Linked DNA regions of Coturnix japonica. The protein of the gene in region 4 purifies or fractionates together with the protein of the main gene of each other region. This does not show direct contact. Links are inferred from orthologs where the notes say so. Each region holds a gene or a part of one and is shown on either strand. Other genes may lie near its edges.

The links.
Region 1: the proteins of MTF2 (region 4) and JARID2 purify together in Homo sapiens (affinity purification with mass spectrometry; 3 studies listed by BioGRID and IntAct, with this or other methods). This does not show direct contact. The link is inferred for Coturnix japonica from reciprocal best matches to the Homo sapiens genes MTF2 and JARID2.
Region 2: the proteins of MTF2 (region 4) and EZH1 purify together in Homo sapiens (affinity purification with mass spectrometry; 3 studies listed by BioGRID and IntAct, with this or other methods). This does not show direct contact. The link is inferred for Coturnix japonica from reciprocal best matches to the Homo sapiens genes MTF2 and EZH1.
Region 3: the proteins of MTF2 (region 4) and EED purify together in Homo sapiens (affinity purification with mass spectrometry; 3 studies listed by BioGRID and IntAct, with this or other methods). This does not show direct contact. The link is inferred for Coturnix japonica from reciprocal best matches to the Homo sapiens genes MTF2 and EED.

Annotation. Positions count from the first base shown.
Region 1 is NC_029517.1:67,711,792-67,716,672, reverse strand, and holds part of JARID2 (protein Jumonji), read left to right. Parts: intron 1-1,735; coding exon 1,736-1,919; intron 1,920-2,511; coding exon 2,512-2,619; intron 2,620-4,253; coding exon 4,254-4,430; 3' UTR 4,431-4,881.
Region 2 is NC_029542.1:4,621,079-4,626,997, reverse strand, and holds part of EZH1 (histone-lysine N-methyltransferase EZH1), read left to right. Parts: coding exon 1-62; intron 63-519; coding exon 520-611; intron 612-1,203; coding exon 1,204-1,244; intron 1,245-1,735; coding exon 1,736-1,861; intron 1,862-2,258; coding exon 2,259-2,437; intron 2,438-3,028; coding exon 3,029-3,124; intron 3,125-3,501; coding exon 3,502-3,583; intron 3,584-3,732; coding exon 3,733-3,813; intron 3,814-4,195; coding exon 4,196-4,280; intron 4,281-4,397; coding exon 4,398-4,458; 3' UTR 4,459-5,919.
Region 3 is NC_029516.1:170,401,563-170,407,481, reverse strand, and holds part of EED (polycomb protein EED), read right to left. Parts: intron 2,977-5,919; coding exon 2,884-2,976; intron 2,103-2,883; coding exon 2,037-2,102; intron 1,304-2,036; coding exon 1,178-1,303; intron 1,062-1,177; coding exon 980-1,061; intron 1-979. UniProt on the Homo sapiens protein: Polycomb group (PcG) protein. Component of the PRC2/EED-EZH2 complex, which methylates 'Lys-9' and 'Lys-27' of histone H3, leading to transcriptional repression of the affected target gene.
Region 4 is NC_029523.1:12,157,316-12,163,961, reverse strand, and holds the start of MTF2 (metal-response element-binding transcription factor 2), read left to right. Parts: upstream 1-3,000; coding exon 3,001-3,116; intron 3,117-6,646. Other genes in the region: DIPK1A (divergent protein kinase domain 1A), read right to left, coding at 2,612-2,707. UniProt on the Homo sapiens protein: Polycomb group (PcG) protein that specifically binds histone H3 trimethylated at 'Lys-36' (H3K36me3) and recruits the PRC2 complex, thus enhancing PRC2 H3K27me3 methylation activity.

The DNA of each region.
Region 1 (4,881 bases), on a different chromosome or scaffold from region 4:
GTTTTTATTTTGTTAATCCTTGGTGCTGAGAGTCAAGATTTCCTGATGTGTTATGTGGGCTACATGGTGCCAAGCTGTTAAGTACCGCTTAGTTTTTAACTTCTTGGCATCGGTAGCTGCCGTCAATCCATGCCAGTAGTATGGGTTTTGCAGCAGGAACCCTTGTCTTCAGCATCAATATTGTTATACTGCAGTTGAAGAATGTATGCAGAGAGGTATTTTTTTCTTTAAACAGTCAGTGAGCAGCTTATATGCATGCAAACACTTAAAAACAAAAGCTTCACATTCCTTTTTCTCTCCACAGTGATTAAGGAAACATGTTTAGGGTTTTTCTTAAGATAGGTAAAATAGAAAATATGATGTTGCCTGGCTTCCTGTGTAATGTTCTTCTCTTTTGTTCCCTACCATGTAGTTGCTACCTATCTTTCAAGTTTGTGACAACTGGTACTCGAGATGCCAAGAAAGTTTTGATGAATGGAATCTACAAACTGTATTTAACTAACTAGCATGTTCATTTGGAAAGTTTCCAGTGACATATTGAAGGGGAATACAGCCCATGTGTTGTTGTAGTGTTCAGAAAGAAATACAAAGAGGTGTGCTGACTCCCCCTACCAGGTGTGCTGACTGCTTTACCTGCAGCTGGTTCCCCTGAAGGAATAATCACTTCCATGCGCACTTTTTTTTTTTTTCTTTTTTTTTCCCCTTGAAGAGGAAAAGTCTGCAAGTGTGAAAGGTGAAACAGAGATGTTGGTGCTTGATGTAAGAGATCACATCGACCTTTATCAGAGTGGTTCTCAAACTTGTTCTTATACTGAGGTTGGAATTCTCTGGAGAATATCAGTCCTTCCTGTGGCTGCTTATGTAAAACGAAACCCCAAACCAGAAAAGCACAACCAAAGTGGAACAATGCACCAGATATTTTTTGTTCTGTTCTGTTTTGCTTATTCGTTTTGTGTCTCGCTGCCTCCTCTCCTGACCTACCATGCCATTTGCTTAGCATGGCTCTCCACCCATCTTCGGCTGTGTCTGGTGGCGAGCGTCTCTATTCTCCCGTTCCATCTGCTCAGCTCACTCCACGCTACTCCGGCCCAACCTGCTCCCGCAACGCTGTACAGTTCTGTACAGGACGCGCTGGCCACCTTGCACACACAGCGGGTGGAGGGCGGCCTGAGGGCTCAGTGGTTGTTCTTAGTTGATATCCCCTTCTTTTTCCCCTGGGTATGCAGCAAGGTCTTCGTCTTTTGGCACGGTTGCTTGCCCTGCTCCCCCTTTCCTGCGTGACGCACCTCCCGGCAGCAGATCCTTGGTTCTCTGGCCTCCTGCTGAAGGTGGCTGTGCTACTCCTGGGGGCAACGGCTCCTCCTCCTCAAGGTGGCTTTTGGCAACTTCAGGAAAGGCAGCCGTGTTGTCAGCTACATGGCTCAGCTCTCCACATGCCCTGGGTCCCCACCGACCTCGAAGAAGTACTCGGCAGCCCCCAGTGCTTTGTGGAGCAGTTTGAGAACCACTGGATTGATACAGTGGTCACATTTTGCAGTTAGGCAGTGTTCCTGTGGTGCTGGCTGGCTCTCAGCATGCGTAGGGTATGGCACCAACCTCCAGCAACACTCAGGGCTTTGCTGTGTGCAGTTACGATTTCAGTGACGATGGTGGTAAAAGGGTGACTGTGGTTGGCTGGTTGGCTTTGTGGTGCTACGAGGAACCAGTGGTTTCTGATTGCATCCAATGTTCACAGGGACACGGAGCTGAGGCAGCGGCGGCAGCTTTACGAGGCAGGTCTCCACTCCTCGGCACGCTATGGCAGCCATGACAGCAGCAGCACGGCAGTGGATGGAAAGAAAAAGCCTCGAAAGTGGTTGCAGTTAGAAACGTCGGAGAGAAGATGTCAGATTTGTCAGCACCTGTGCTATCTGTCCATGGTGAGTACAGTCCTGAGCCGCAGCTGGGGTACCGAGTTGTAAAAAAAAAACAAAAAAAACCCAGAACCAACCAAAAATTTGGATGCTGGGGAGACAATGAAGTCATGTAAATGTAATCAAGGAAATGATTTTACTTTGTCATTCATAATGGTAGTAAGAGACACGAAGGCAACCAGCTCAATTCCAGGCTGAACTTGTCAGTGCGGCAGCCAGAAGCTGAGTGTGACCTCTGCTGGCTCAGACAGTAGCTGGGGGTCCCATGGCCACACTGCTGGTTTTGCTTGAACTCAGGGCAAAATTTAAAGTGACATGAAACTGCTGCTTTCAAGAAGCTTTTAGGACACACATTAGATAGTAGTAAGGCTTTATACATGTAACATTAATTAGATTTATCCTTCGTTGCTACTGGTGTTTTTTAATTAGTAAGTATTTGCCAACATTATCACTCGTCTTGCAATGTATGCACATCTTGTTTACTCCCCCCTTCACTGATTTACAGTGATATACAGGTATAATGATACATCACAAGGAGCATACTCTGGCTTCAGCTTGGAGCTCACCGCATTTCCCCCACGTGTTCTTTTTTTGGTAGGTTGTACAGGAGAATGAAAACGTTGTCTTCTGCTTGGAGTGTGCCCTGCGGCATGTGGAGAAACAGAAGTCTTGTCGGGGACTGAAAATGATGTACCGCTATGATGAGGTTTGTGCAGTCGTCACAGCTTTTCTCTTTTGCTGCTGGTTCATATATGTGAGCTCACAGAAATGGCTGGGAGTCAATGTGGAGATAGATAATGAGCACGGAACTCACGGCAGTGATTTAGGACTGAGTCGGGATTTTGGGCAAGTGCTGCATTGCAGTACATTCAGACAGTGCTCCTTACGTGCCTGTTCAGCACCATCTGTGGAAAAACTGTGTTTGGGGGTGGGTTGGACAGAGGAGGGGCTGTTAGTTAGTCTGAGCCGTGGGTAGGGACGCCATGGGAGAATACAAAATTGGCTCTTTGAGAGCAGTGCTGATAACAAGCAGCTCTGAGGCGGATGTCTCAGCAGCTACTGATGTGCACAGAGGTCCAGAGGGGAGAAAAAAAGAGAAAGTTAGGAGAAGTTGTGCCATTCTGGCCATCTTTGATTTTCACTGTGGGCTCCATTGCGCTGTCAGGTGCTGTAGCTTACAAACAGGTACAATCTAGGATTCCAGGCAACAGAGAAGCTGGCTTTGTGGTATATACACTGAGGAGTGCCAGAAGGCTCCTTGGAAATTTAAATACATTTCTCTTAATTCCTGAGCTTATTTAGGCTCTTATATCCTGGGTCTTCACAGTACTGATAACTCTATTGAGCCACTCTTAATCAGCACCACATAAAGTAATGACTGGTTTTATAATTACAAAGCAGGGATTTGGGGATTTCTTCCCCAAATGAAAAGACTCTCTCGATTTCTGCACTTCTGAAGGATACTCAGTGTAGGCCTGCTGGATGTTACATAATTTATTTTTGAGAGCTGTGAACAGGGAGAGAGAGAGCAATTCTTCACGTCAAATGCCATCTGTTAAACCTATTTAACTGTTAGCTGTGCTTTGCCCACAACCAACTTCTTAAGATTCCTGCCAGGAGGGGACATTCTCCCTTCACTCCAGACCTCACCGAGCCACTGACTGCAGCGAGAGCAGGAGTGGTGATGCAGCACAGGCACTGTGCTGTGCTGCTCAGGGACTCCTGTCTCGTTCTTACTGTATTGCCACGGACCCATAGCCCTGGGCCCTGTGTGGCACCAAGCACTAGCCTGGAGCACTTGGGGCATCCAGAGATCCTTAAAAGCAGTAACGGAAAATAGCATCCTGTAACAAATGGCAACAGTCTCAATAGGGAAAAGCAGGACCTTCTCCCTAAGTTTTAAATAAGTATTCAGTAAACAGCAGGTAGCAAGCGTTGCCACTTGCAGATTTCAGTAAGTTCATGGCATTTATGACTTTGCTCAGCAGTGGCCTTTAATCATGTCTGCAGCAAAGTTTTGGCTCTGCTGAGCTGTATCTGTGCAGCCCAGTGCTCAGCCTGGTGCAGTCCTGTCACCCATCGCTGACTCTGCACTCAGAGGCAGGAAACTACAGCAGGGGCACCATTCCAGGTATAGTGCACTGCTTCTTAGGCAGACCCCACCTGTGAAATAGTGGTCGTATGGGCTGCCGTGCAGTCAGTTAGCAAAGCAGCAGCTATTTCCCCCTGGTTATAGGTGCCGTCAACCAAAGGATGGCGCTACACCCGCTTTATCAAACAGAGGTGCTCGGAAAAAGGAAGGATGCTCACTTGTGTTTTGTTTTCCTACTTCCTGAACAGGAACAAATAATCAGTCTGGTCAATCAAATCTGTGGAAAAGTATCTGGTAAAAATGGCAGCATTGAGAACTGTATCAGCAAGCCCACACCAAAAAGAGGACCTCGGAAGAGAGCGACAGTCGACGTGCCATCATCCAGGCTTTCATCCTCCAGTTCATCCAAAAGTGCTTCAAGTTAATCCTGAAGATGCCAACACTCTCATTTTGTCAATTTATATATATTTTTTGTAATTATTATACCATAGTTTGGAGTACTTGCTGTAGAATACAAGCTGTCTTTGCACTAGCTCTAAAGAAGATTTTCTTCTGGTTTTAGAGAACTAATTTTGTTTTAGCATTAAACTGTTGGATTTCTTTTGTTTTTGTACTTAGGATAGGTAGATACAGCAGTCTGATTTTTTTAAACTGCCGTATGTTCACTGTTTTAAAAGCGGCGAGAGGGGCTGATCGATATTAATTTGTATTGACCCTGGGGCTGAGAAAATAAAGAAGCCTTTCTGGGAACTGGGGGAGGGGGTAAAAAAAACCAACAAAGGCTTTTAACCCATTTTTGACTAGGTTAAAGTTTTCTAATTTGTTCTCCGGTCACGCGAGCAGATTTTTCTAGAGCGAAAAGGGATGGGAGAGGAA
Region 2 (5,919 bases), on a different chromosome or scaffold from region 4:
GGACCTACTTCAACAACTTCTGCTCCATTGCCAGACTGCTGGGAACAAAGACATGCAAGCAGGTAGGGCCTGACATTCTAGTTTGGGCTGTATGCCCAGGGGAAGCAGGCATGGCAGCACCTAGCACAAGGGAAGGAAGCCTTTCTGCTGCTCACTTAATTATTTTTTTCTTCTCTGCCCCAAACAATTTTGAGGAAGGTGTTGCATCGACACTTTGGAAGTTCAGTGTTGTTATTTTACAGTACTGCTGTCCATTTCTGCTAGGTTTCTTCAGAGTGCTTTATGCCAGGCCTGGGTATATTGGCAAGTGGATTATCTTGTTTCCCAGGCAAGAAAAGCAAAGATGTCCATGACTTAATGAAACTGGGAGCAGAGTTGCACACTGTGCACACTTTGTGTGTGTGCTTATGCTTTCTTCATTTGTGCTTAAATAAAGGCAGCTTGAGTGCACTGAACTTTATTCTATTGTTTCTGTTCTTGGTTGTTTTTTTGTTGTTGTTTTTTGTTTGTTTTTGGTAGGTCTTTCAGTTTGCAGTGAAAGAGTCACTTATAACAAAACTGCCAACAAATGAATTGATGAATCCATCCCAGAAGAAGAAAAGGAAGCACAGGCGAGTGTTGGACAGCCTTGTTTTGTTCTTAAAATGCAACCAGATCCACTGCTTTTTGTGCCAAAGCATTCCTGGTAATCCGCATCTGGCTCCCATCTGCATACGCTTCTCGCAGTCACACAGGGCTGATTGTGCTGCTGGCTGAGAGCTGATCCCTGCTGTGTCACTGGTGCTGCCGTCCTGGTTGGGCAGCTGTGGGGTTCTATGGCCTCAGGCTCAGCCCTGGAGCAGAAGGCAGCACAGTGGATGTCTTGCACCAAGAGCTGCACTGCTGAAAGTCCGTTTCGCTGTCTTAACAGCAGTCTCTGCCTGAGCTCCCTCCCTGGCTTATAACCTACATTTTGTATGTAGTGTTATTCTGGCTTTCACATTTGCCTTAAATAACTTCAGCTGTAGCTGAGTCGTTCTCATCTTTCACCTCTTTGTGTCTAGCTGATGGTTATTAATGCATGAAGCTGCCAGACAGCCTTGCTGGACTCACTTGTCCCCTGCTGCAGTGCTAACTGGCAGTGCTGAACACAGTACCGGCCAGTTGTTCCTGATGGAGGCTTGTGACTCTCCCACCCCTGACACTTCTCTGCTTCTCTTCCAGGCTGTGGGCTGCCCACTGCAGGAAAATTCAGCTGAAGAAAGGTACTGTTTGCTGTGGTTGTGCTTAGACATTGTTTATGTGGTGGGGGCTGGTTCTCCAGCCCTGGCTTCCACAGCAGGACACTGTGTCCTGCTCTCCATAACAGCAGTTGCAGTGATGTGGGGGTGAGCTGCCCCCACTGCAGAGCCTTCTTGGGGGCCACCCTGGCTCTGCCTCATGCACTGCTGCCATGCAAGTGTTCTCTGCCAGGTTCTGAGTGCAGTGCAGTCCTTCTCTAGTCAGGAGGGATGAGGTTTGGCATGTAGTCTGTGTGAAATGGACTGTGCAGGGGTGTGTGTATGTGTCATACATTTGTAATTGGAGCAGTGTGTGGATGGATTTGGCTGAGCTGAGTGCTGCTGCGCTCCCCGCCCTCTGCAGGCAAATCAGGAACCTGCATGTGCTCTGCTCCAGAGCCCTGGGAATGCTGCTTTCTTTGAAGTGTTTCTGCAAAGTACAGCTTCTAATCCTGGCTTTTCTCCTATTGTTTTAGATAATTCACCTACCCAGGTGTACAACTACCAGCCCTGTGACCATCCTGAGCATCCCTGTGACAGCTCCTGTCCTTGCATTATGACCCAAAATTTCTGTGAGAAGTTCTGCCAGTGCAACCCTGACTGTAAGGAAAACCCTAGGATTGTCATGTATGAAAGCAGCTGCTCTCCTGACACAGACCAGAGGACGGGTGCAGACCTGGTGCTTAATGAAGGCTTGCTTTATTTCTGCCTTCACTTTTTGGTCTACCTGCAGCAGTGCAGTTACCAGTCTGATAAAGTCCAAAGGAAGGCTGTGGTCCATGATGTCCTGTAACATCCTGTAACAGCAGCTGGTGATGTGTTCCCTTGTTAGAGAACACTTGCCCGCATGTCTGTATCCAGAATCAGTAAGCCCTGGGTGATGCTGCTGATTGCATAAAAGGAGGTTGTATGGTCAGCTGAGTTGCTGCTCTGCCACACTTGTTTTTCCCCTTTTATGAAAAATCTTGTCATGCAGAAATATGGGTTGCATTTCTGCAGGTCAGAATCGCTTCCCAGGCTGCCGCTGTAAGACCCAGTGCAACACCAAGCAGTGTCCGTGCTACTTGGCCGTGCGGGAATGCGATCCAGACCTCTGCCTGACCTGCGGGGCATCAGAGCACTGGGACTGCAAGGTTGTCTCCTGCAAGAACTGCAGCATCCAGCGCGGCCTCAAAAAGGTATTGATAGGAGCATGGCTCTGGCAAAGGGCTGCCTCAGGGCAGAGTTGGTAAACAGATTTCCTGCTACAGAGGAGAGGCTGTGAGCCACTTAAAGCTGTCTGAGTGAGAAAAATCAAAAAAGAAGCTGCTCTGCCCCAGGCTTCTATAGCATTTAATCTAGAGTATGGATTACTGATGTGAAAATCAGGAGCTGGGAGATAAATGAGAATGCATGAAAACAAGGTAGTATAAAAAGTAACACCATAGAAAAGCTGAATTTTGCTGGTCGGAACAAAGTACTGCAGGTAAAAGAGGCAGAAATTCAGTGGGTGTTAAGTACTGTGCAGCTGCAGCTTATTGATGCTGTGACATATAACTGTGTCACATTACAGTGGGGAACTGGATAGATATTGACTTCTTGTTTGCTTCTCTGCATTATTTGCCCCCGTGGTACTGAGGACTGCAGCCTGCACAGCATGGCTACTTGTTTACTCCTGCCCTAAACCATACACATACACATACACCTGGGCTGTGACCTCTGCACTGCTTGCATGCTGGGCATCAGTGGGTCTGCCATCTGAAACTGTTTTCTTTTTTCCTTGGCTCAAGCATTTGTTGCTGGCGCCATCAGATGTTGCCGGCTGGGGGACATTCATCAAAGAATCTGTGCAGAAGAATGAATTCATCTCTGAATACTGTGGTGAGGTCAGTGCTTGTGCCCTTGCTGGGCGTGCTGTGCTGTGTGCTTGGGAGGACACACTCTGTTCAGCAGCTGATCCAGCAGGGACTGTGTGCCTTCTCTAGTTCAGTTACGGCCATGCACTCACTCTGACCCAGCTTAGAGGTTGAATCTTGTACCATTTTGGGACACATCTTAGTGTCTCTAGGCTCCCCACAAGGTGGTGTGTGCTGATCCCTTGAAGCCCAGCTATTGCTTCTACTTCTCCTGAGCCCTGGTGAGCTCCCACCCCTTTGCGGAGGGGCAGGAGGTGTTTTCTGGACATACAAGAGTGCTGTTTCTGACATGATCTTTACCATGCCTGCAGGCATTGAGGCTCTCTCAAGGCATTCTCTTTCTTCAGCTTATTTCACAGGATGAGGCTGACCGTCGAGGAAAGGTCTATGACAAGTACATGTCAAGTTTCCTCTTCAACCTCAACAATGGTAACTTGTGGGGGGCTTTCATGGGGTGGTGGAGGCTTGGGCTTCCTGGAAGGGGCTGTCAGGGGTTAGTCTCCATTCCTGCATTGTGTGAGCAGCAGCCTTGTGTTTACAGGACACTGCAGAGTTTTCTTCTTTCTTTGTTTCAATAGACTTTGTTGTTGATGCCACTCGCAAAGGAAATAAAATCCGCTTTGCCAACCACTCTGTGAACCCCAATTGCTATGCCAAAGGTGAGCTATCCTAACACAGGCCATTCAAGGTGGAAGAAGAATCTCTGGTCCTACTCAGCTCTAGGAACACAAGAAGTTCAGTGGGGTCCCAAGTGACACTGAGTCCATCACAGCTGCAGAGCATCAGAGACGTAGGCAAACTCTCCTTGTGGCTGCAAATCGCATTACTACTGCTGGGGCTCTGCTCAGCTCTGCTGTAGCTCTGTCCTTGCAGGGAGATCACTGCTAGAGAGCAGGCTAGGATGTTACTCCATTATGCTGAGCAGCAGTTCTGGAGCCTTGGCTCTGCAGCTGGCAATGGTCAGGCTGGGCTGTTGGTGCTCTGTGACCTTTGGACTTGGACTACAGTTGCACATCTCTGATATTGTCTCTCTGGTTGCAGTTGTGATGGTGAATGGAGACCACCGGATAGGAATCTTTGCCAAGAGGGCCATCCAGGCGGGAGAGGAGCTCTTCTTTGATTACCGGTAACACAGGGAGAGGCTGCCTGGGGACTGTGGGGCAGGGCTGACCTCACTTTCTGTGTGCACGTTTGCAAGGAGCACAGAGGTTGTTACAGCAGCTGTGGCTTTCCTGTTTTATAGGTACAGCCAGGCAGATGCCCTGAAGTATGTTGGCATAGAGAGGGAGACCGATATCATCTAAGCCGTGTGCTGGGCGATCCCCACACATTTTGCTGCTGCACCTTGTAAGCAATGCCATGTTTGCTTCACGCTGACATGACTGCTGCTCGTGTTCCCCTTGTTGTGTGTGTCACAAGTGCTACTTTCCACCCAAACACCTGGAGAGAGACTCAGGGCAGGAGCATGAGTGGCTGCCACCAGGACAGCAGCTCTGCCCAGCCCCAGGATGGGGCAGGTTCCAGCACCTTGCACTGCTGGTAATCTGGGCTGGAGGGACCAAGCAGCTGGGGCTTGAAGAAGAGCTGTGTTGCAGGAGGAGGGACAGTCGCCAGTTCTCAGTCTCTTTCCATTTTCTGTCAACTGCTAGAAGAACAAGAGTGAGTGAAGTGCACTGAGACCTGGAGGGCATGGCTGAAGGGTGACAGGGCTGGCATCCACCTCCAGCCCCTGTCTGGGACAAGCTCTGGTCTCTGGTGCTACCTTTTGCTGCCTGTTTTGTTGCATTGGCTAGGGCAGTGACAGCATTGGAAGCCATAGAGATGTGGCCACACTCCTGCACGTCGCTAGGCTCCACAGCCACTATCACTGGGGCTCTGTTTTCCCTCTGCCTCAGCTGGGCTGGACAAAAGAGACCACCAGCATGTGGCTCCTTGGGACAGGAAGAGCAGCACTATGCAAAAGTCTCTTTGGGCAGGGAAGCCTCTGGGCTGGTTAGAGATGGTGTTACAGGAGTGCTGCTGCAAGCACAAGAGGAACCCACAGGAAGCATGCACCCAGGAGCGTGAGGCAGCCTGCAGCATGCTCTCATGGCAGGTTGTGATTTCTTGCCTATCTGCACAGAATTGCTTGAGTGTTGCAGTGGTGAGGTGTGAGCAGAGCACAGCACTCGTACCTGCTCTGTGTGTTGACAAAGGGGAAGCTCTGGATGTTTCTGGCATTCTGGTGCTGGCCTTGGCTTTGGGGACAAGGGGGGAAATATTCCTTGACAAAGTGAGGTTTGGCATTAGCACCCCATGCAAAAAGAGAAAGAAAAAAGCACTTTAAATTGAGCCTTCTCAGTCAGGCAGCTGGGCCCCATGCACTGCCCAGGGTGCTCTCAGGTTGAGGGACCACGGACCTCCCACACCACTGCTGTCCTTCAGCAGCGCCTTTGCAGGGACATTTCTTCAGGCCTGGGACTGGGCAGCTTGGAAGAATGGGTGGCTGCCTGGCTGGAGGGATGGCTGGAAGGTGGCAGGCTGGCTCTGCCCTGAGCAGGGGGCTGGGCCTGAAGGATGGGGCTGTCCTGTAGGAGACATATGCCACCAGGTGGCCTGGTGCCACATGCTGGACACTGCTGGACTTGTGTGCCAGCCTGGAGCGGTGCTGCAGGACGGCGTTTGCCCAGGATTGGACCCATTGCCCTGCTGCTCTGGGAAGTGCCAGGCTCCACACAGGGCACGGCCCCATCCCAGTAGCACATCTCCCAGTGCAGAGAGCACCC
Region 3 (5,919 bases), on a different chromosome or scaffold from region 4:
AGGACTTCTACTATATTCCCCATGTAGAAATAGGAACGTCTAATGCATTTCCCATTTGGATTCTACAAATACACACTACACTGAATTATGGTAATACCAACTGGAGGGCCACTCAGTCCCAAATATTTTTTATTATTTCTACTCATCTCTCAATCAAGCAGTTCTGAGACTCCACTACTCTCCTCCTTCATGCCTAATTATATACGCTGTCCAGATTAAACCTCATAAATCTATTGGCTAACATCAAAATGGTATCAAAAGGACAAAATATACAGAAGTCTTGAAATTCAAAAGTAGGCCCACAGCACAAACTTGACGGTTGGAAGAATCAGAGAAGTTCCCAACTCTAATTCTTATGGAAACAATCGGTGACACTGATTACACTTCAGTCAGAAGTCCCCTTATGTTACCAGCTCTAGTATTCCTGAAGGCTTGCTCCTGAGGCAAATCAAATATCCCCTTACTTAACAAAACAGTCCAGATTAGGAAACTGTGATTGTTTAGACTGGACAAGTCTATGAGACATCACAGCATAAACTTGCTTCTTTTTTCACGAATGCCCTTTTCACTCAAAGTCCTAAGGAAGTTTTCCCTTTGCAGGCAGTGGTGAATACTATCTGCAACACTAAAATACGCCCACTAGATGGCACCAGGCTTCAACAATTGAAAGAAGTTGAAACCAAGTAATAAAGGTAAGAAAAAACAACTCCAGTGCTTGCATTTCTTTCCTGAAAAAACAGTGGTGTACACAATCCCTTCGCACCACAGGTATTTTTTTTATTGTAGGCCATGGATTTAAAATGTATCTAATACATATCCAAGAAGACCAACGCTTGCTCTAGACTTCCAAGGTAAACTTGTTCAATCCCACTAGTAAAATTTTCAAAGAATTGAGAGATTTTGGCCATTTTCAAGATCAAAAATCCAATCAAAAGTATCCTGATTTGTACAACAACATAAGTGGTTTTTTTTTCCTCACCTTTGCTTACAGATAAAAGGAGATTTGGATCTCTTGGATGGAATTTCAGTTCATTGATTGCATTTCCATGACCCACGTAGTGCTGGGATAGAATTCAGAGACCAAGTTATAATCTCCCCTCACATTTACATGTACTTAGAAGACATGTTTCATGCCTTACAGAAACATAAGCTTCATTTCAAAGTTCTGAGCACTTACCTTTATGCACTGCATTGTAATAGGATTAATTATCCTAATAATACCCCTGGATCCTGCCACAGCAAGGAGAGGATGGCTTGTATTACTATCATATGTCCATGCACAGGTATAGAAGTTTTCATCTGCCTGCATCTTACGTTAAGGAACAAAGAAGAGACTGGAGGTTTTTGTTTTGAGCAAAATTAACTTTAAATATATTTTTAAAGTGCTTTTCCAAGCAAACTTGTTGTCCATGTGTCCACAAATGGATCCAAGAATAATTAAAAAAAAGAATATTTGATCATACAACTGCAAATAATAATCAGTACTGACTTTCCTAGAGATTTCCTCACTTCTGTTTATAAAACACATAAGGACACCTTTCTCTTGGCATCACTTTTCAATCTTTCTCCAAAATATCAAAAGACTGGGAATAAAAATGAGGATGAATCAAGACCCAGTCAGAAATCAGTAACCTGTGAACTGCAACTGATCAACAGAAGTTATTACCACTTCAGAGCATGAAACATAATTCTTAGGCTTGAAATCCAGTTCCAATTCAGAGAGCTGAGACCACTGTAGAACATGGAATGTGAAACTCTGCACAAATATTGGTGTTGGGAAGACTGAACTGACAGAGAATCAGTTTTCAAATACTTTAAGACAGCACGTTCCATGAGTCTGCATTTCTGATATTATTTCAATACGAAAGACTCGAGGATGTGGGAAAGACGAAAGAAGGCTAAGACCCAATAGGAGGAATGTGCCACATGAGCAGGGTATTAAATCACAGAAAAGCCTCTGTGTTCTTTTTCCTACAAAGCCTTCACTATTATGATGAAGAGGAATCAAGCAAGTGTGTTTTTACTTAAAAGGATACATCAGCATCCACATAGGACTGTAACAGGCGGATTTCTCCTTGGGAGTGGCATTCATATAAAGTAACCTGGGGAAAGAAAAAAGTGAGAGGGATTGTTACTTACTTGTGATAGTACAAGAGAAAACCAAATACACCTGTGCACTGTGCTGTTTGTGGAATGGCAGTATGCTTCTATGGTTTAGCTCTCATCTCACCTGTTTATCTAACAGTGGGTTTAATAAAACAATGTGCCCAACAGTTTTAGTAAAGCAGCATTCCAGGACTTGCTAGCAGCCCTTCCCAGATATTAAAATATACTCTTTGAATATTCTCTACTTATAACTAGTTACTTCATCACCTCTAACCAGACCTAGTCTTTACATGAGCATTTGATATACAGTTAATTTTAGTTTAGCACTTTTGTCAGGTTGGACAAACCTGGAAATGAGAGACTTCTTGTTTATGTGGAACACTTCCATAGGAGGAACTTGAAGACTAAAACAATGTAGAGTCTTGTTCAGAAAAAGCCTATAAAATCAGGCTATCAATTAAGCCTTCTAGAAACAGTAACATCTAAGAAGAATAATTTCAGTGAGAAGATACATTTATGCACCTGTCTTCTTTAACATATGTTCATGTTACTAGCAAAATTTTAATTACCACAGAGGCTAATTCCCAAGCAGCTAAGGCATGGCATCATACTGTAATTCAGAGGCAGAACATCTCCAAGATAACAGACACTACATACCTCATAAATACGGCTTTCTATGCAAGTCACCGTATGTTAGTACTATACACAGGTAAGGGGTTTCATTGAAAAAAATGAATGCAAAGAAAAGCAACAGGAGGTTGAAAACAAGTTACTTACTCTGTTGCTGCCTACAGTGGCAAAAACAAGAGGATCGCCTTCTTTACTGTGCCAGTTAAACTGGACTCCAAACAAAGGCTGACCATGGTCCTCCTGCAGATGTAAAGCAAGGTTAGAAAAAAAATAAAGCTCACAAACACATTATTTCTGTGAAATTCAGCTGTAATGGGAAACAAATTGTTATGTTTTCCCCCCAAACTACTAGGTTCACACCCAATATAATTTCATATAGCGAACAGTTAAGAAGAACAGTTTTGTAACATCACATTCTAATTTGGCTGTCTTCACAGAGGATAAAGCAGTATTTCTTTCCTCTCAACAAAGTTTTAAATTCTAAGGGAAGAACTGTTGCCTCACAGCTGAGAACAGAAGTTGGCCCAACTACTGCTTACTCTGCTTTGCATCTTTCAACAAGGAAACCTCCTAAGGTCACGTCTATAAGCACTTTATATTGCTGTAGTTACTTTCACACAGGGATTTACAACATCACAAAGGAGATCTGTTAGGATTGAGAAGAATTATACTGGTGTAAGGGTGGAGAAGGGTTACATTTCACTATTACAGCACAGTTAGGTCTTGCAACTCTATCACAGGCACAATGAATTAACTCCAGCATATCACAAAGCTGCTGCAAAGTTCATGTCTACAAAATGTTTTCAGATCTCCTTCACAAACAGTTATCAGAAGAATGTCAAGTATTATTTTTATAACATTTTACATCAGTTTAAGGGGGAGGGAGGGGGGAAAGAAGCAGATATGTTTACAAATCACAATGAATATGGTGGTGCTTGTTATTAATTGATAACAGTATTTTGGCCTGTTCTGACAGGATGTTTTCAGCAAGAATAATGTTCATTAAAGTGCCTCCCCACAGGGGACTGTCTGGGACAGTACAGGCAGGAAGGAAGTGTCTCATGATGGCTGTTAAGCAGCCTTCAAATGGCAGTGCTTCAGAGACAACATGAGAAATATTAGCCCTGGCAGCTCTGACCCATACAGGAACCACAAAACAAATTTGAGGAGGGGGTATGGGGTGAGGAATTCAATTCTACTCAAAAACAAAACAAAACAAAAAAGACTTGCTAAAAAGGAAGTTAGAAAGAATTTGAACTAGGCCATATTTACTGGGAAATGCAGTATCTGTTGTTACCTCAATGGGGACAGCTAGAAGAGCCAAGTGAAAAAAATAGCTTTGAGTGAAGGCCCTCCTGCATCTCATAAGGAGAGGCACAATTTTCAAAGCTGAATACAAATTAAGAAAGCATGTTTGAAGTTGAACTCTAAGCATTAGCCACTGTAACATTAAAGAACAGGTAGCTGTTTGATGGGGAGCGTGGGAAAAGTAGCAAGGTTATTAGTAACCCCAGTACAGAAGAAAAAAGAGGAGGTATTCATCACTAGTACAGCGTTAAAATTAAATTAAGAGACACAGAATTAGGAAAACACCAGGGTATCTGCCTGAAGTTATGCTTACCTCATTTAAACTACCATCATCCTCACTGGTCAGAAACAGCACGTGCTATTTTGATAACACTGATAACTGTTTTAATCTTTGTACCTGCTGCTTACTAGGTTTTCAAAACATTACACTATTAGGTGCTGCATGTTAGTTATCCTGAGAGGCTGGATCTGTCACAACAACCTGACTCCTGGCTTTATAGACAGTTTGACCCAGATATAACAGTAGAATGGTGAAAAGCCACTTTGACCCTGGTATAAATAAAAGGCATGGACTCAAGGTACTTGGGTTCTTCATGCACCAGAAAGAAGGCAAAGAAACAGATCCTACAGTTGCTATAAAGGTAAACAGATAATCAGCAGTTGGTTCTGCCCTCACTCACTAAATAGCAGCTCAACTTCGGCCAGACAAAATAAGGTTAGGCCTGTTTTTAGACAGAAGGCAGCGAAATAAACACTAAGCCAACACAAAATAATCACCTGCAAGTACATGAGCCCATTTTAAAATATCATCACCCACACTGCTAGTGAGGCACAAACTGACCACACATGCATTCCTGGTTCCTGAAGGGGAAGCAAACTACCACTAGAAGTGGTTTTAGCTACTTCTCCCTTACTCGACAACAAACTAGAATCCAATTCCCAGGTCCAGGGATAGAAAGTAAAAGCTGAGATACTCCATTCAACAGCTAACAGCTATTCAACCACACCCTGAACAAGAGGGAAGGGTAGGGCAAACTGGCATTGTTCTGAAGGGAGCACATCAAAGCAAAATTCCTCTTTGCTGGAAGATCTAGAAGAAAAATTATATGCAGAAGTGAGGATGTACTTTGTTAGTTGTATGTGCTCATTTATAAACTGTGTCGCCACTCAGCCCACGGACAGCAAAGACTTTTTCAGTATACCTTCCAGTAATGTAGTGCTGTAAAAAGCAATAAAATAAAGCACTTTTTGCTTTCCTGTTATTTTCCAAGTTATATATTTGTTTGCTTGATGCTTAAATTTCAGCCAAAATAGCTTCCACACTAGTGGTTAAAAGGCATATTTAGCAAGCACTGTGTTTTTCAGACTGAATCATAACCATCTGACATTCAAAGTAGTCAGCAATGGCCATGTTTCTTTGTCTTCAGGAGGAGAGAAGAAAAACAAAGGAGAGAGGGAAAACTAAGAATAGGAAAATGAAAAAAAAAATCTATACATCTCTAAAAAATATTAAAATGAATTTCTATGTCTTTAAATCACGTTGACTTTTCATTTATATCAGTACGTCCATCTTACAGCACAGTTCAAAGACAGAATGAGATGCATTATGTGAGATCCAATGAGTTTAATGTCCCTCTGGACCAACACACAATATTCAATTGTTACAGTTTATCTAAATAGCATCTGAAATATTAAGAATAAGAAAAAAGAAGTGAGGCTTCCCCAAAAATGAAGTAAAAAGAATTACCTAACCTGGCTACTATTTGTTCTTTAAACCAGTTCAAAGAGAAACTAGAAGACTTAGAAATATTATATCTTACTTAGCTGAAATGCTATATTTACTTTCTGTGTTTTACTCTGCCTGCACAGCAACCT
Region 4 (6,646 bases):
CACTTCTGGCAGAATTCAGGCCTGGACGCACTCCAAAGCATATGGAAAGTAGCAGATCCAGACACAATGTAACTACGTGCCAACTTTTTGATAAGCATACTTTCTGCTTAAAACATTTTTATAGTTAGGAAGTATGGAAGTGTTCATTTGTTGTATGCTACAGAGAGCTCCATCCAGTCAAGTATTTCATATGACCAGAGTTCAGAAATCCTCTCCAAAACTCCAAACTATTCACGCAGTTTGTTCAACATATTAGGAATAAGGGAGAACACAAAAATTGTATGCTGATCATGTTACAAACCCGTTCGTTTGATCTTCAGGTTGATTTAGGCTTATAGGAAGCATTTCGGGTTTCTAAGAGCTTACAGTGCACACTTTGGATGACGCTGTTGTCTTCATTCACTTGTATCCTAAGCAGTCAAGCTGAGCAAACAGCATAGGGCATATCTTCTGAAATAAAGGATAACAATCAAGGCAGAAAACAGGATGTTTCCACTTAAAAGGTTAAACAACAAGAAGAGAATTAAAAGGTTGGAGGAAATGATGGTGATACATCAAGGGGGCCTTTGAAACCTGGGCCTTCAAAGTATCGTCTACATTACAGGCACCTACGTGACATCCCTAAAGAGTCTGTAAAGGAGGTCCAGAATCTCTAGCGGCCAGAAAGCTCCCAAGCACAGCAGCATTCTGTACAAGATTATTGATGTGTGTAATCCTACTGGCTTGACCTCAGCCTCACAATACAGTTATTAACTACAGTTACCGGAAAGAAACTCAAAACCACATTTCCCAAATTTGGGACATCCACGTCTTCTCAAGTAACATTAATCACCACTGCAGAGAGGCATCAGTCTCCCAGCTGTAAGATCCAATAAATAATACTGATATTTCTGGTCAGTATTTAGGCCGTTAGAAGATTGTCAAGGTTTGGAGCTTTTTGCTCTAGTTTTATTTGGTTTACTATTACTGCAAGCCTTGCAGACTAAATGGGGAAAATTCTGTATTTAATAGTCACTGCCCATTTTGCAACTAAGTTTTAGTGCTGTTTTTGTGGATCCCAACCACTAAACTTTGAGCTGAGGCAGGACATCCTCAGAGTTTGTCCTGCTCACTTTATACAAGTTGAGGCTGTTTGGCAGCACCCTGCCCTTAGCTAGAAAGACTCAGTGATTACCTATGGATAGCACATACTGCACGCGAGCTAAAGCACATGTCAAATAATAACAATAAACAATATCAGAACACTTGGCACAGAGCACAGGTTGCAAACCAACCGACAGCACCTTGCTCCTGCTACAGGAGCAGGAAAGTCAGAAGAGGCACCAAGTTCCTAGTGCAGAACTTCATGTTCTCAACTCATCCCACAGCACAGATTTCAAAAAGCACGGAACACCAGCCAACAAAATCTGGAAGTCAGTCAGCAATGCTTTCCATTGTACAACCCCCTGCCCTGCTCTGCCGCATTAAATATTGCATAGCAACACCACACAAGTCTTCAAACTTCCATCTCACTCGCAGCTGTATCTCAGTGAGTTAAGCCGAGCATTTCATTTGAGAGCAGTGGCCTCTTTGGAGGCAAAAACTCAACACAGCACCCCGTGAGTAATCAGTACAACTCAACCATGAATGCATTTGTCACGTACCAACAGCAACACGCAGCCACAAAGTCAATACATTGACAGCCTGCTGCCGCTGCATGGACACATCAACTGCCACCACACATCGAGCTATGGAACAGAAAAGAAAGGCCATTTTCATGAAGCTGATGGTAGCTCTCCTCCAAACAAATCTGCAAAATATTCCAACACAGTTTTTAGTGCGACAAAGCTTCAACAGAAATACTTCTACATCTCCAACAGAAACAAATATTTAACCTCTCCGGCTTGACTAAGAAACGACACACTTTGCTAAAAATGCCCTTAAATGTTGAGAATAAATGAAAACAAATGGTTATCCAATGTCACATACAACGAACAAAGTAGAACTTACATCAAGGCCAACAATTAGCAGAGTCCTACTTTGAAAGCCAGTACAGACATGGTGAACTCATTTTCATCTCATGCGTACCAGAGCCTTCCTCCTATGGGAACTGAAAAGTGTCTGCTTTGTTAAGGAGATCAAGGACAACGTTTGCTGGTCTAAAATCAAGTGATACGTGACCCACATTTGTGGATAGAACTGCTGAAGGGGCTGAGCTTACACCTGTACCCGCACACTGCTCCTCAGCTGTCACAGCGCATTTTGGGCACTTCGAAAAGGAGAATGGCATCAGAAAAGCTCCAGATGAGAAGGAATTAAAGCACTCGGGCCTTTACTATGCATAAGGATGAAGCCCCCTTTTTTTTCAATAAACCAATTATTAGAAAGCTTTTAATAATATAGCAGCAGATGACAGATACAGATATATGTGCTACAGATAAGTAGCGTGTGTATATAAATATCACGTTTACCCCCTCAACTCACTCAGCTGAACTGCAAACGAGTTAAAGCCCAGCAAAACAAACAGCAGAAGCCCCGAGCACAGCCCCCTGCGTACCACCACCACCGGGCCCTCGCCGGCGTCTCTCAGCACAGCGCTTTCGGCCCGAGCACCGCTCCGCTCCGCGCCTACCTGCGTAAGTCGAGGCGGGAGCTGAGCCCAGGGCTGAGGGCTGAGGGCTTTGGGCCGCCCGACGGCTCCCAGCGGTTGGCAGCGCTCAGCGCTCATTGCTCCGCAGCGGACGGGAGGCCCGCGAGCAGCGCCCCGCTCCCGCTCCCTCCCCACACCTGTTCCCTGCCCCTCCGGCCGCGCCGCCTCCCGGCCCCGGCGCCACCGGCCCCACATCGACGGCGCGGCCGAGCCCCGGCGGGGGGTGGAGCGGCGGCCGAGGGACGCGCTGAAGGCGCCCGGCCGTCAGGGGACGGAGCGAGGGAAACCGCCGCCAACGGGCCGCCCAGCGCCGGCCTACCTGAGCGTGGGGGGGTCTCCTGAGCCAGGCTCCCGCGAAGAGCCGCCTGGCCATGGCAATCACGCATCCCCGCAGCGGGCGGCGGACGGAGGCGGAGCGGAGCGCGGCGCTTCCCCGCCCGGCCTGTCCAAGGAGCCGAATCGCCGGCGAAGGGAGGACGAGGAACGCGTAAGACACGCAGCGCCGGGCCGGCAGCTGTCAGCCGCGGGGACGCGCCACGGGGAGGGGAGGGAAGAGGAGAGAAGGGGAAGGGAGGAACGCGGCCGCCCAGGGCCGGAGGGGGAGAGCGGGCGGGGCGGGGCTGCTGCTATCCCCGCCCTGCGCTGAGGGAACGGCCCGTGGGCGCCGGGCGCTGCGCCGAGCGGAGCGGGGCTTCCTGCGCGGGCTGTGTCCGTTCGAACTGGGCAGCTCCGAATGACTGAGTCCGTTAATGAATAACGTGCCCCGCTGATTGCAGGCAGGTTCCGTCTGCCACTCGCTGGGCGTTAGAACCAGCTGAGGGCCCACTGGGCCCACACAGTTAAGGAGGGAACCCCGGCCCTCCGCACCGCCGCGCTCTGCAGGCAGGTGCGTACCGTGCTGTCCCTGTGCTACGGCCTCACACTGCGTCCGCTAACAGCGACAAGAGCGAGTTTGCTGATGGAAGAAAAAATACATGATTACGCTTGTCATAGCCACAACCTGTGACCGTAACGGCGGGCAGGTCGGGTCAGGCTGCTAGGGAAGGGCCAGGCACACCGGGCAGGCCTTGAGCCTCACTGCGTGACTGTGGCAACAGTCCATAGCACTGCTCCTCCTCACAGTGGGTTTGGAAGGAAAGCTGAGCCAGGAGGGATGTGGCATTGGCCTCATCTGGTCTCTTGCCCCACAGCAGGGCGAGAATTAGGTGCCTCCCACAGCTTCACATAGTGTGGAACGTAGCAGACTAACTGCCATTAGTAGTAACGTGATTTGGTTCAAGTGTAACTGCCCTTAGTCACATGAATTTTAACTTGCTTCCATCTGGTCACATGTATGACTTAGTTACCTCCTTAGCAACAGGTCAGAAGCTATAGGGGATTCCTGATGCTTTTTGGCTGTGAGGCTTTGGGTGAAAGGATTACAGCACAATGTCAGGGGAAAAAAAATGATTGTAACATGCTCTGGCTTTTGGCGTTGTGTGCTGCTTTAATTAAAAGAAAGGATACAGAAAGATGGCATAAGAATAAGTTGTGGTGTCCTAGCAGGGATTAGTCTTAAGGAAAGATACATATCTAGAAACCAAATGTTATGAGGTCATAGAGTATTAAAAATCAGCAAGATTTAAAGAGTAAAATCTTTAAGATTCAGGAATAGTCCATGACTGCTTTTTGAATAATATAATCACTGCCAGACTCAGCTCACTCTGAAGAATAAATCAGAAAATTAATTAGTAAGATTTGGCACTCCTGCAAAAGCAGCCCTGGTTTTAATAACACTCTTGCAGTGAGAGTGTTCTCTTCCTATTCAGCAGGCCCAGATGGCTGTGCTTTCTGCATCACTTCCCTCTACAGTTCAGTAGTTTGTACGAGCTTAGTGAGATTACAGGCACGCAATGGAAAGGTGACACCAGGAAACTACAGAGCAGGCATTTAAACGTTTTGCTGAATAATCTCAAGTAATTACTTCATCTAATGTTCTGTGTCAATCCTTGGAAGGAGAGGCTGAGAGTAATCATGAAATGTGCTTCTCCCATATGGCAGGCGAGGACGTAAATGTTTTGTTTCTGTTAAGACTGGATCAAAACAGTTCCTGGCATATGTTCATTAGGGGATATATTTTTCACTTAGTGCATGAGATCTTAGTCATTTGTGAGAGCAGCTGCTTTATTCCGGCACTGCAGTGTTTAGTTATTCTTAAAGTCCTCTTTGTGTCCAGGCTTTACTAGATGATAAAAAGGCAATTTCAGCCTTTTTCAGCTTATCCCTTAAACACCAAACTCCCAGTTAAGCCTTGGTAAATGCAAAGCTTGTGGCATTTTGCATGTGCAAATGTAAATGGATATTTTAAAGACCAGGGAATAGATGCAATAGAACATAAGTCATAGTGATGTATTTACTGAACCGTTTTTCCATTTGCTCACGCTTTTCCATTCTGTAGTTCACACATTATTCATTTTTGTATGGCAATAACACATCTCAAATGCAAAAGCAGTTGAAGTTACGCTGATTTATTGCTACCTGTTAATATTTGCTTCCTATCCAGCCTTGCAAAGATTGGAGAGACAAATCCACTGATGATTATACGTATGCACTGTTTATCACTCGGTGTTAAAGGTAAATGTGGCCTTATAATAACTGCATACCATCACTTCCAGTACTGTGACAACTTAACAGTCACTGCATACTAAATAGGACTCAGGAAAAACTAAGAGCTGTTACATGTATTGAAGCATCCAGGAATTTTGGACAAGCAATATTTGACTAATAAAGATAATAGAAAACTATAGAAAAATCTACATTCTTCAAGGTACTTATTAAAATTCTGCATTATATTAATAAAGATGCACATTATATCTAAGTTCTTCTGATGGAAGGATCTGTTACTTGAGCAAGTAATACAGGTTTTATCATTTTATTTTAAAGCTAAACATTAACTTATTGCAATGTAACTGAGCTTGATTCTCACATAGGAGACTCCATGGGAAATCCTCAGGGTTCACACATTCTTATCACCATCATATTAATGCAGGACGCCTCTGGCTAATGTTAGTAATCATAAGATTAATAATGTTAATAATCACAGACTTCCATACAGCAGCTTTACAAGCTTTACCCACAAAGCACAACTTCCTGCATTAGCACTCTTACCCAGGATATGCCAAAGAAATGTTTTGTCATCCTGGGCAGCATCTCAGCTTAACCCCCAGTAGGAATGGAATGTGTCAGCATCTGCCAGTTACCTTTTGTTTTTTTTAAAGTTTAATAACTGTATTTACATGGTAAACAATGCGTTAATGATTTTAAAATAAAACTGCTTTTCCTAAAATGAAGTCTATAAGGGTGTCAAAGTTTCACTCTTTGTCCTGCCTGGCTGTCAAGATGCACATTCAGAGATCTAGCCAGGAATTTGGTTTTATTCTGACTCCATCATCCGGTTTGTCAATGTGGAACAGAATGAAGATCTGGGGACACACTCGTCAGACCTAAATTCTTCCTCATGTTCCATTCAGAGTGAGATTCTTTCCCTCTCCTGTAAACTTCTCTGAACTCAAATTTAATCAGTGCATAACTTTTATTTTATCCTTTTTTATCCTTAAATATTATTTCCTATTGCATTCAAATTCTTACTAGTGTCAGTGCTTCTAGAGAATACATAGGTGGAGCCATCTCTTACTCAGAGAGCAAACAAAGCCTGTTAAGGATTCCCTTGTGGCTTAACTTGTTGTAAGCAAATCATTAATCTATTTGAGGAAGCAGCATCTTCTAGCCAGCAAGTTTTATTTCTAAGGCCATACTTATAAATATATATAAATCTGGCCTCCTGCAGCAGCAGAACACATTCCTCTTGCTGCTTACTTTCATTCTTGCGTTGGCACAACCATTTCTGTTATTGTGTTAAGAACTAGGACAATAATTTCAACTATGAACTGTTAATCGTACTTCATTTTTTCCCTGGGTTAGGTCAGACAGCCCAATTCCTTTCATCAGTGTCTTGGACTTATGCCAAAATTGAAGTGG